Sus scrofa: one gene and its partners. The protein of the gene in region 3 purifies or fractionates together with the protein of the main gene of each other region. This does not show direct contact. Links are inferred from orthologs where the notes say so. Each region holds a gene or a part of one and is shown on either strand. Other genes may lie near its edges. The genes, in order: KPNB1, NUP62 and NUP214.

Region 1 (3,211 bases), on a different chromosome or scaffold from region 3:
AGAAGGACTTCTTGATCTGAGGAAGAATAATTTGGTGTAATCAGAAGCAACTAGTTCAGCCTAAAACCTGCCTGATGGAGGCAGAGTATTTAGAAATTATGAAACAGGGTGGAGTCTTGCCAAATGTGGCACAACTTCATCACACCTTCTCTTTCTTTTATAGCGGATGTGATGCTGGTACAACCTAGAGTAGAATTTATTCTGTCTTTCATTGACCACATTGCTGGAGATGAGGATCATACAGATGGAGTAATAGCTTGTGCTGCCGGACTCATAGGGTAGGTCATACTCTGCTTCCAATAGCTGAATAGAACTCCTCATGCAAAATGAGAAGACATGTAGTAAAGAATTTTGAGTGGCCTGGATGGTAATTGCCCACTTTATTGGCATAGAGGAGATTTCTTTCTTTAGTAGAACCCATGCTGTCGCGGGGTGTGTGTGTGTTTGTTTGTTTGACCACACCTGCAGCATGTGGAAGTTCCTGAGCGGCAGTTGTAACCTGTGGCACAGCTGCAGCAGCGCCAAATCCTTAACCTGCTGCGCCACGCTGGAACTTCCATGATGTCCTGTTTTGAGTTCTCAGATGATTATTCCTTCTAGACTTTAGCTCTAATCTCATTCCAGGCCCCCCACATTTCTAATTTCTCCCCACCAAACTATGAAATTAGCTCTCAGAGAGAGGCAGCATCTGATCTGTGTCCATCCCATGTTCTGGTGTTGATCAACAACTTGCCTCTGTGTAGCCTCCTCTACTGAGGGTTTCTGAGACATCGTTGGAAGAACATTGGTTTTGAGGAGCTCAAAGATCTGGATTTTTTTTTTTTTTTTTTTTTTGGCTTTTTGCCTTTTCTAGGGCCACTCCTGCAGCATATGGAGGTTCCCAGGCTAGGGGTCTAATCAAAGCTGTAGCCGCCGGCCTACACCACAGCCACAGCAACGCAGGATCCGAGCCACGTCTGCAACCTACACCACGGCTCATGACAACACCGGATCCTTAACCCACTGAGCAAGGCCAGGGATTGAACCTGCAACCTCATGGTTCCTAGTCGGATTCGTTGACCACTGAGCCACGACGGGAACTCCAAGATCTGAATTCTAGTTCTGATTTTACCGTAAATTAGCTGTGGCACCTTGGCTAAGTCATTCTACTTATTAGACTTCATTTTTGTTCCTCCATTGAGGACAAGTGTTAGACTCATTTATCTTTAAAATTTCTTACAGCTTTAAAAAGTTGAATACTCAAAATCCTAGAGCTGGCTTAGAACTGGTTTGGAAGGTTCGAAACATGATCTTAGGGGAGTTCCCACTGCGGCACAGTGGGTTAATGATCCAGCTTGTCCCTGGCATTGCTGGTTCGATCCGTAGCCTGGAGTAGCAGATTAAGGATCTGCTCTTGCTGCAGCTGTGGTGTAGGGCACAGATGAGGCTTGGAATCAATCCCTGGCTCAGGACTTCCATATGCTGCAGGTGCAGCCAGAAAGGGGGGCGGGGGACCAAAAAATACAATCTTCATGATCTTGGTATAGGGCCGGGAGCTCACTTTCAGGTGTGTTTATCTTGTCCAGGGACTTGTGTACAGCATTTGGGAAGGATGTACTGAAATTAGTAGAAGCTAGGCCAATGATCCATGAACTGTTAACTGAAGGACGGAGATCGAAGACTAACAAAGCAAAAACCCTTGCTACCTGGGCAACAAAAGAACTGAGGAAACTGAAGAACCAAGCTTGGTAAGAGCTTGTCCCTTTCTTCCACTTTCTTGGGCAGGCAGGTGGGTGGTGCATTTTTTCAGACAATTCTGACAAGGGCCTTTTTTTTTTTTTTTCTTCTTCGGTGTTTTGTTTTGTACTCTTCCCTATGTTAAGTGCCTCTGAGCCAGGCCTTTGTTCATCAGCCTTGTACTAGTGGAAGGTCAGGCAGCCAGTCTTTGAGCCAAATATTTGGTTCCTTGTGGTGGTGAAGAACAGAACTTAAGTAATTAGAATTCACTGAAATCCCCAAATAATTTTGGACCCTTAATGAAGTAACTGATAGGGGTATTTTCCCATAATTTTCTTTCTACCCTCTATTTCCATCCTCATGTTCTTTCTTTACTGCAGTGCTTTTATTAATTTTTTTTCTTTTTTGGCCACCCAAGCATATGGAGTTCCTGGGCCAGGGATCAGATTTGTGATGTATACCACAACTGGGGCAACACCAGATCCTGAAACCCATCGTGCCAGGCCAGGGATAGAATTAGGTCCCAGTGCTCCATAGATGCCACAGATCCAGTTGTGCCACAACAGGAACTCCCACTGCAGTGCTTTTAGACATTGCTTTTCTGTACGGAAGATACCCAAGGTCAGAGTTGTTTGACCTCTGCTTTGAAATGTAGTTTTGTTTTCCTCTCATACTCAATTATCTTATACCATAGATCTCAGTAAAATTGGCTGTTTTGGGTTTTATCTTTTTAGTTTGCCTCCCACCCTCTCTGGGTACTAATGAAAGTAGGTGGATGGCACATAGAAAAAGAAGAAAAATAATCAGTCCTTGGAAAGTTGACAAATGATGTTCAAGCCTGTGAGCGCTTAATTCTAGGAGTCAGAGAAATGTTTGGCTCTACTGGCTATACGGAATCTCAAAGACTGACCTTTTTTCCATCTGTTTTTAGATCTGTTACCAATGGGATGATAACCTGAGACCCCCACTGGAAATCTCCAATCTTTTGAAAAACCCGGAAGTGAGGAGTGTGCACGGATGCTGAATGTTTGGGAATGAGAGGATGAGTGAGTGAGGCTTGAAAACACACCACATTGAAAATCCTGCCACAGCAGCAGCTGCAGCCGCCAACAGCAGCGCTGTTAGTGAGCTAAGTAAGCACTGACTTCGTAGAAAAACCATAACGTCGGCCATCTTGGAAAAGAGAAAACGGTGGATTTACTTGCTTAAAAAAAAAAAAAGAAAGCTCTCTCTTCCCAGGAGAGGCCAGAACTAGCTTTTCTGTCTCTTGGCCAGTGCCGAGTGGATTGACTAGTTTGGGAGAGGAGGAGGGACTGGGTTCAGCTGTGGTGCTTTGTTGTAAAAGGCAGCTTGGCCTTTGCTACTGATGAGAAAGATGGGAGCCTGGGTCTCAAGCCCACCTTTGGTGTACCTTTGCCACACGGTACTGGTACTGTATGCGTGCCAGCTAAAAGGAGGGTGAGGGATTCTTTCCAGCCTGAGAATGAGTGTGTGT
Region 2 (4,247 bases), on a different chromosome or scaffold from region 3:
GGCGAAGACGGGCACCAAGGCGAGAGTGGAGGACCTACGAGTGGGAGACAAAAGTGAGTGGGTTAGGGGCCAGCCTCGCCAACGGCCAAGGCCATGGGGAAACCAAGCGATACCCCCTCAGGTCCCCAGGATTCCTTACCTTTTGGGAATTCTACATCTGCCCTTTCTTTCCTCAAATGGGGACCCCACCCATTCCCAAGGGAATTTTCTTTAGGCCCCGACTTACTTTTCCTCAGAATTCCCTAGACCCAATCCTTCCAATATTGAAACATAATGGTGTCCCAGGGGAATTACCTTAAGACCCTCCCACCCACCCCATAATACTATCTCTCATGGAAAAAAAAAAAAAAAAAAAACACAAAAACCTCAATCCCAGGGGAATTTTCTTCCAGCCACACCTCTTGCCCTAAAACATATCCTTTAGGCCCCACCCTGTCCCTAGATTCCTGCTGTGAATCTGTTCCCAGGGGAATCCCCCTGCCCCGCCCCTTCATCAAAATCCTCCATTCAAATCCCATTCTTCCCTTCGAATTTTGCAGTGGTCTCCCGTCCCCCCAAGCCCTGCCCCCTGGTTTATTAGCTCCACCCTCCCCGACGATTCCCAGAGGCCCCGCCTCTTTCTCAATATAAACCCCACCCCCTCAGCGCACGGCGCGCTTAGCCACGCCCCTTCTCCCAAAGGGTACCCCGCCCCCGCCCCACCCTCCGCGACGTCTCTTATCCTAGCTCCCGTCCCTTAACTGGTCGTTTCTAAGCCCCGCCTTCTCCCCCCGCCCCCGCCCCCGTAGTTGCTTGAAAGAAAGGGAGGGAAGACGTGCTTTTACGCCTGAGCAAACTGGAGGGAGGCGGAGGGTGGAGGGGGGCGGGATGAGAACAGCTCCCGACTCCCCCTCCCCCCACCCCCGTACACGGCTGTCTCGCCGAGGGCCAAAGCGCAGGCTCCAGCCCCAGAGCTGTCCTATTGCCCCCGCAAGGCTCCGCCCTCCTCGGGATCAGTGCTGCGCACGTGCGGCTGCTGCTCGTCAGCCCTTTGCTCCGAGATACAAGCGCCGGTGGATCTGAGCAATCGCTGATTGACAGACTCAATCAGAGCGGGGAGGAGGGGGGAAACCCACCCTCTCTGGGAGCTAGTGCGCAGGCGCAAACGCATGTGGTCGTCTTTAAACGCCAACATTGTCTGGAAGAACGCACCCTCCCCCCATCAGCTGAGTGCGCATGCTCCGCAGCGCGCAAACGGAGCGTCTTGTCTCTTCTGCGCCTGCGCGACCGTGATTCCTCACTCTTGTCTCCCCACCCCCCCGAGCCCGGTGGTGAGGGCCGCGAGCTTGGAAAGGGCGGGAAAGACGGTTGGAGAGGGAGGGGCGAGCGAGCGGTTACTCACTCCATGGCTGCGGAAAGAAGAGGCGGCGGTGGCCTCAGCTGAAGAAAGACGGCAGGAGCGGAGAGCGCAGGCGCGGTGAGCACGGCGACTGGCCGGGGGCACAGAGGGGTCGCGGCTACAGAGCCATGGCTGGAGCTACGCGGGCGGAGGAGGTGTCGCGGTACTGTGAGGAGAGATTGTGATCTGAGGATGGGGAATGAGGCGGCCCGGGGGACTGGGGACAGATATACCGGGGGCGGCGCAGCACGGCGTGCCCGGATCCTTCCGCGCCCCGCCCCGCGCTGCCCCAACCGGGAGGCGGGCTTGGCCTCTAGCCCTCGGGGATCCCGGGGACTGTCCCCCACTTCCGACCAGGGCGTTCAGCCCTCCCCTTCCTCTGACCTGAGGATCTGGCCCTGCTTTGCTCCCGACCCCCTGGACCACCCCCACTCGGGTGGGGCCCCTTTCTCCTTCTGATCCGGGGTCCGGCTTTCTGTTCCCTCTCATTCTGGTGGTTCAGCCTCACCTCTTCCCCGATCCCTGCACGAGTTCATTTCTCCTTTCCTTTCTCTTGCTTCACGAATTTCCGGCCAGCCACGTGCTGATCTCTTCAACTGCCACGGCACTCTGAGAACCCTTGTTGTGGCTTAGGATCTGGTTTGAGTCACAGACCGCGCTCCATTCAAATCGCAGACGGGCGCGGGTGGCCTTGGGCAAATAATTTAAATTCTCTAGCCTCGTAGATAGGGAACTACCTGTAAAATGAGAATAATCACCTCTTCCTAGTGGGGTCGTTTGTGAAAATCCGTGCAGTCGGTGTCTGTGAAACCAGCCCTCCTTCATGCCTGGTCCAACCGCTTTTATTATCCATAACAAGGACCTCTGGGGACCAGTCTCACCCCTTCCAACTCCCCTGGCCAGAGCCCCAGACTCGACCATCCAACACCTGCTAATAGATCATTCTTGTGTCTCCTTCGCTCTAGCATCCCTGCCCTCCCCCATTTCAAACGATGGACGCTCAGCCCCATCCTGCTGCCGGGAGCAAGGCATCATTGCCCAGACTCTCGTGTCCATCCCCTGCTGGCTTCCCCTTAGCCCTTATCCTTAGCACGCCTTTCAGGCCCGTTGGTTCATTCTTCTGTCCCTGCCCCTCACCTAGACGTCCTTTCAAATGGTTTTCTACCTCCGTGCACCCCACCCTCACCCCCAGATCAGTTTTCCACCTTTGCCAGACTTAGGGAGATCTGTAGTTCCATTTGCTGAAAGAGATGGGGCTTCCTGGCCAGTCCCTCCCATTACACAGGGCCTTCCACCAGACCCCGTAGACGAGGGTCTTTGCTGCAAGCCCCTCTCCTCCCCCATTCATCCACATCTAGACGTTACACCTGGAGTACAACTTTTCAGGACTTTGGTGGTGGTTATGAGACTGAGTCAAGATCCAAAGGTGGGAGACCCAGATCTTGAGTTACCTGGAATGATACATGGGCCTCTTTTGTTTTGTTCCATGTGCATGTGCTTTTTTTTTTTCCAGTTTTACTCAAGATATAATTAAACTTTATAAATTTAAGGTGTACAGTATAACAATTTGATTACCCATAAGTTTAGTGAACATTTATCATTTCCTGTAGATGTGAAATTAAAGATATAGAAATAGGGAGTTCCCATTGTGGTGCAGCGGAAACGAATCTGACTAGCATCCATGAGGATGCATGTTCAATCCCTGGTCTTGCTCACTGGGATAAGGATCCAGCGTTGCCATGAGCGGTAGTGTAGGTCGCAGATGTGGCTTGGATCTGGTGCTGCTGTGGCGTAAGCCGGCACCTGTAGCTCCGATTCGACCCCTAGCCTGGAACCTCCATATGCCTTAGGTGCAGCCCCGAAAAAGACCCAAAAAAGTAAATAAATAGATACTTAGAAAAAATACATATTTCTTTTTTTCTTTGGCAACTCCATGGCATATGAGTTCACAGGCCAGGAATCAGATCCGAGCCAAAGGTATGACATATGGAAGGGTTTATTCTCTCTCTCTCTCTCTCTTTTTTTTTTTTTTTTTTTTTTGCTTTTTAGGGCCACATCTGAGGCATATGGAAGTTCCCAGGCTAGGGGTTGAAATGGAGCTACAGCTGTCAGCCTACGCCACAGCCACAGCCATAGCTATGCAGGATCCCAGCCACATCTGTGACCTGCATCACAGCTCACAGCAACACCAGATCCTTAATCCACTGAGCAGGGCCATGGATCGAACCTGCATCTTCATGGATCCTAGTCTGGTTCGTTAACCACTGAGTCACAAAGGGAACTCTGGGTTTATTCTCTTAATAACTTTGATATGTAACATACAGCAGTGTTAATTATACTGATCATTTGATATATTACATACCCAGTACAGGCTGCTCTTCCTACAGGAAGCCCTTTTTGGGATCTGACCCCGTTCCCTTAGAGTACTTCCTGTCCACTGTGCCAGTATTTGAGCACTTGTCCTTTGGGGCCACATTATTACCTAGGCGGCATGGAGTAGTAGTTAAGAGCACAGACTCTGGAGGCAAGTTGTTGGATTCACACCCTGACTATACCCCACTTATTAGCTTCCTGGCAGTTTCGCTGTGCCTCGGTTTCCATTAATAGTGCCAGAACAGAAGTCCTCTGGTGGCCTAGCAGGTTGGGGATCTGGTGTTACCTCTGTGGCTCTGGTTATTACTTGGTGAGGGTTTGGTCCCTGGTCGGGAAGTTTTGTGGGCGCAACCAAAAAAAAAAAAAAAAATAGTGCCAGGATAAAAGTGACTAGAAAGTGCCAGGAGTTTAGTGACTAGAAACATACAGAAAGTGCCAGGAGTTTAGTGACTAGAAACATACAGATGTAAGTGGCTGTCCGTAGTGCCTCCTTCTT
Region 3 (3,649 bases):
CAAAACCAATTCTTGTTCCTCTGTCACGTCAGGGAAAACCGTGGGATCACCCTTACTTGGCGAAGTGAAAAAAGGAAAATCATTTTGACAACACAAGCTAATTGTGAGTTATGTCTGGGCCACTGAATCAGCTGCTAAAAGCGCCTTTTCAGGGCAGCATGGCCCCGAAAACTGTAAAGTGCAGAAAACTCTAGAAAAAACGAGAAGAGAAGATTTTCCGACATCAAGAAATCATTCTCTTGCTCCTACGTGGTACTTTCTGATGCTTTTTCCCTGAAGGTACAAAATATGACTCTTTAAGAGAAAAACAGTTATTCTTAACAGCACAGTTCTAAACCAGCTCTACCACAATATTTTTTTCTCCAGAAAACCCAAGTACATTCAAGCTAAATCACATATGCTGTCTCGCTTCAAGGACAGTAACTACAAAAATAAGAAACATTCTCTCCACTTCTACCAAAAACAACAAAACAAACCCACTTGAGGTTTTTTTTCCCAGAAATTAATTTTTTTTAAAGGACTATCACCTCTTTTTGTTTTGATGGAGTTCCTATTGCGGCTCACTGGAAACGAATCTGACTAGCATCCATGAGGACACAGGTTCAATCCCTGGCCTCGCTCAGTGGGTTAAGGATCTGTCATTGCCGTAAGCTGTGGTGTAGGTCAAAGACGCAGCCCGGATCTGATGTTGCTGTGGCTATGGTGCAGGCCAGGGGCTACAGTTCCGATTCGACCTCTCGCCTAGGAACCTCCATATGCCAGGGCAGGGGCAGCCCTAAAAAGCGCACGCACACACACACACACAAAGATAAAATATTGTTTTTCTTATTATTTATTTTCGCTTTTTTTTTTTTTTTTCCCAGCCCTGCCCGCAGCATATGGAAGTTCCCAGATTAGTGCTCAAATCAGAGCTACAGGTGCCAGCCTACACTAGAGCCAAAGCCGGACCCACACCGGAGCTTGCGGCAACGCCGGATCCTTAACCCACAAAGCGGAGCCAGGGGTCGAACCTGCATCCTCATGGACACTAGCTGCCTTCGTTCCCACTGAGCCACAGTGGGAACTCCCCAGTAACTAGTTTTTAAATAGATGACCACTACCACACGTTACAGAGCAGAAGACTTCATTACCCACCAGATGTTACTCCTACTGTGGAGGGAAGAGTGGCACACACTTTCACGGTTTCTGTGACTTGCAGGACAGCAATGCTGCCATCGGCCAGACAAACTGCCACCATGGAGGCGACGGTAGGGTTCCACTTCATGTCAATCACCATGCCTCCTGCATCTTTCGAGAGCTTGTGATAGGCAAACGGACGTTTCTGCTGCTTAGCCTTTTAAAACAAATGCCCAGAAACAAAAATAAACAGACATTTAACAGTCAAAAAAAAAAACATTGAATACACAAGTTTTCTCCAATTATAGTTCACTCTGCTCCATGACAAGAATACTTAGCCCTGCACAACGTGTTTGTTACAATTTTAATACAACTTTGAAAACGGCAATTATTCCAGCATACTTGGAGAGACTCAACAGGGGAATACACACATGTAGAACAATAAAGAGTATATACTAGACTAAAATCTGGGCTTTTCTTTTTTTTGGTTGTGCAAGTTCTTGGGTGAGGGATTGATCCTGAGCCACAGCAGTGACCCAAGCTGCTACAGCAACAATGCCAGATCTTTAACCTGTTGTGCCACCAGGGAACTCTTGGGCTCTGCTTATTAACAGTATTGGGTCCTTGAATTTTATTTTTTTTTTAAGGTCACCCCACGGCACATGAAAGTTCCCATGTTAGGGGTCCAATCGGAGCTACAGCTCCTGGCCTATGCCGCAGCAACACCGGATCCTGAACCCACTGAGCAAGGCTAGGGATCAAACCCACATCCTCATGGATACTCGTCGGGTTCATGACCCGGTGAGCCACACAACAGGAACTCCCCCGAAATAATTTCTTGAGGTCACTTTTATCTCTAAGATCTGTGATTCTATAATTAAGGACCTTTTAAAAACCCGTACTTTAATCTAGAAAAAGATTCAAAGGTCAACCCAGAACTTGTAGATTCTGATTCAGTACCAGGTCCCTACAGTTTGCCAGCAGCTTACCTCATTTGAAAAGGTGCGAACATCAAAAAAAGCAATAATGGAGCCATATTCACTGGACATCATGCACACGGAAAGCGTGAGGTTATCGCAGCTTAGGGCCAGGTGATGTATCGGGAATTTCATAGGAACCAGCAGGCTCTGAACTTTATCAACTATGAAGACAAAATAACCCACAAAGCAGAAGATGGAGTGTTCTAAGCATAAGCCACAAGCCCTCTATTCAAGTTGACGTAAAATAACTTTAGCATCTACACAAACATATGCACACACCCTGATACCCAGCTGTGCAGATAAATCATGGCTGTCCTGCAGATGTACAATGATGCTTTAAGTATTCTAGGATTCTTCCTCTTAAGACCTGGGGAAACTCGCAGTGGCTGTGCTCCTTGTTGAAAATAGTGTCCTGGAGTTCCCATCATGGCTCAGCGGAAATGAACCTGACTAGCATCCATGAGGATGTGGGTTCGATCCCTGGCACTGTTCAGTGGGCCAGGGATCCGGTGTTGCCGTGAGCTATGGTGTAGGTCGCAGACTCAACTCAGATCTGGCCGTCTATGGCCATGGTGTAGGCTGGCAGCTGCAGCTCTGATTCAACCCCTAGCCTGGGAACCTCCACATGCTGCGAGTGTAAAAAGCAAAAAAAGAAAAAGAAAATAGTGTCCCATGCTGAATTTCTGTAACAACACTCCAAATAGTACATATTCCCATTTGTTTGGATGGTGCTCCTATGACAACTAAAAAGCCATGCAACACAACTCTTCCGGGAGAAAGCCGGAGCAAGTTCAACTGAGCAAAAACTAAAAGCAAGGAACAACTCATCAAAAGAGATACACGAAGAATCAAACGGAACTCCCAGAAAAGCTTCCAGCAGCCTACCCAGAACTTACTCTTCCTGGGGGTCAATCTCAGGACTAACAGCAGTTTTAATTGTACTGGGAGGATGACTTCTTCGGAAGCAAATGGCATTAGCACTGCACGACTCCTCTCTTTACAATGCACCATAAATTAAGTAACTTACCTATCTTATTGGGATCATCGCCAGGTTTATTCTGAATAAGAAGATTTTTGGTAGGAAAAATCTGCAACCCACTGGCTCCACCGGCAAAGACCAGGCCATACTTGTTGGACACGGCAAGTAGACTTGAGCGTTCCTTCGGCAGCTCCTCAGGGGAGTCAAAGATTCTCACCTTCTTCAGTGCTCTAAACTGAAAATCCTGTGGTGAGGGGTCAAAACAAGATCAATTCAAGTAAATAGGAAATTAAATCACCTGTCACTATATTCCAGTACGACAAAATACATGTTACCCTGAGGCTAAGTACTGTGTAGCTCAGTCTTCTTTGGGCCATGCCTGCAGCATGTGGAAGTTCCTAGGCCAGGGATCAAACCCACACCACAGCAGGGACCTGAGCCACTGCAGGATCCTTAACCCACTGAGCCATGAGGGAACTCTGCGCGTTTTTAATCTTCCTATGACATTGTGGTACCTGGCATAGTGCTTATTAGTATTTATTGAATAAAATAAATTTTTAAAAACTCATGAAGC

What was found.
Region 1: the proteins of NUP214 (region 3) and KPNB1 purify together in Homo sapiens (affinity purification with mass spectrometry; 3 studies listed by BioGRID and IntAct, with this or other methods). This does not show direct contact. The link is inferred for Sus scrofa from reciprocal best matches to the Homo sapiens genes NUP214 and KPNB1.
Region 2: the proteins of NUP214 (region 3) and NUP62 purify together in Homo sapiens (affinity purification with mass spectrometry; 5 studies listed by BioGRID and IntAct, with this or other methods). This does not show direct contact. The link is inferred for Sus scrofa from reciprocal best matches to the Homo sapiens genes NUP214 and NUP62.

What each region holds. Positions count from the first base shown.
Region 1 is NC_010454.4:23,939,701-23,942,911, forward strand, and holds part of KPNB1 (importin subunit beta-1), read left to right. Parts: intron 1-163; coding exon 164-278; intron 279-1,565; coding exon 1,566-1,727; intron 1,728-2,647; coding exon 2,648-2,648; 3' UTR 2,649-3,211.
Region 2 is NC_010448.4:54,942,794-54,947,040, reverse strand, and holds the start of NUP62 (nuclear pore glycoprotein p62), read left to right. Parts: upstream 1-1,335; 5' UTR 1,336-1,456; exon of another isoform or gene 1,457-1,660; intron 1,661-1,886; exon of another isoform or gene 1,887-1,974; intron 1,975-4,247. UniProt on the Homo sapiens protein: Essential component of the nuclear pore complex. The N-terminal is probably involved in nucleocytoplasmic transport.
Region 3 is NC_010443.5:271,106,799-271,110,447, reverse strand, and holds part of NUP214 (nuclear pore complex protein Nup214), read right to left. Parts: intron 3,320-3,649; coding exon 3,124-3,319; intron 2,258-3,123; coding exon 2,106-2,257; intron 1,334-2,105; coding exon 1,135-1,333; intron 1-1,134. UniProt on the Homo sapiens protein: Part of the nuclear pore complex. Has a critical role in nucleocytoplasmic transport.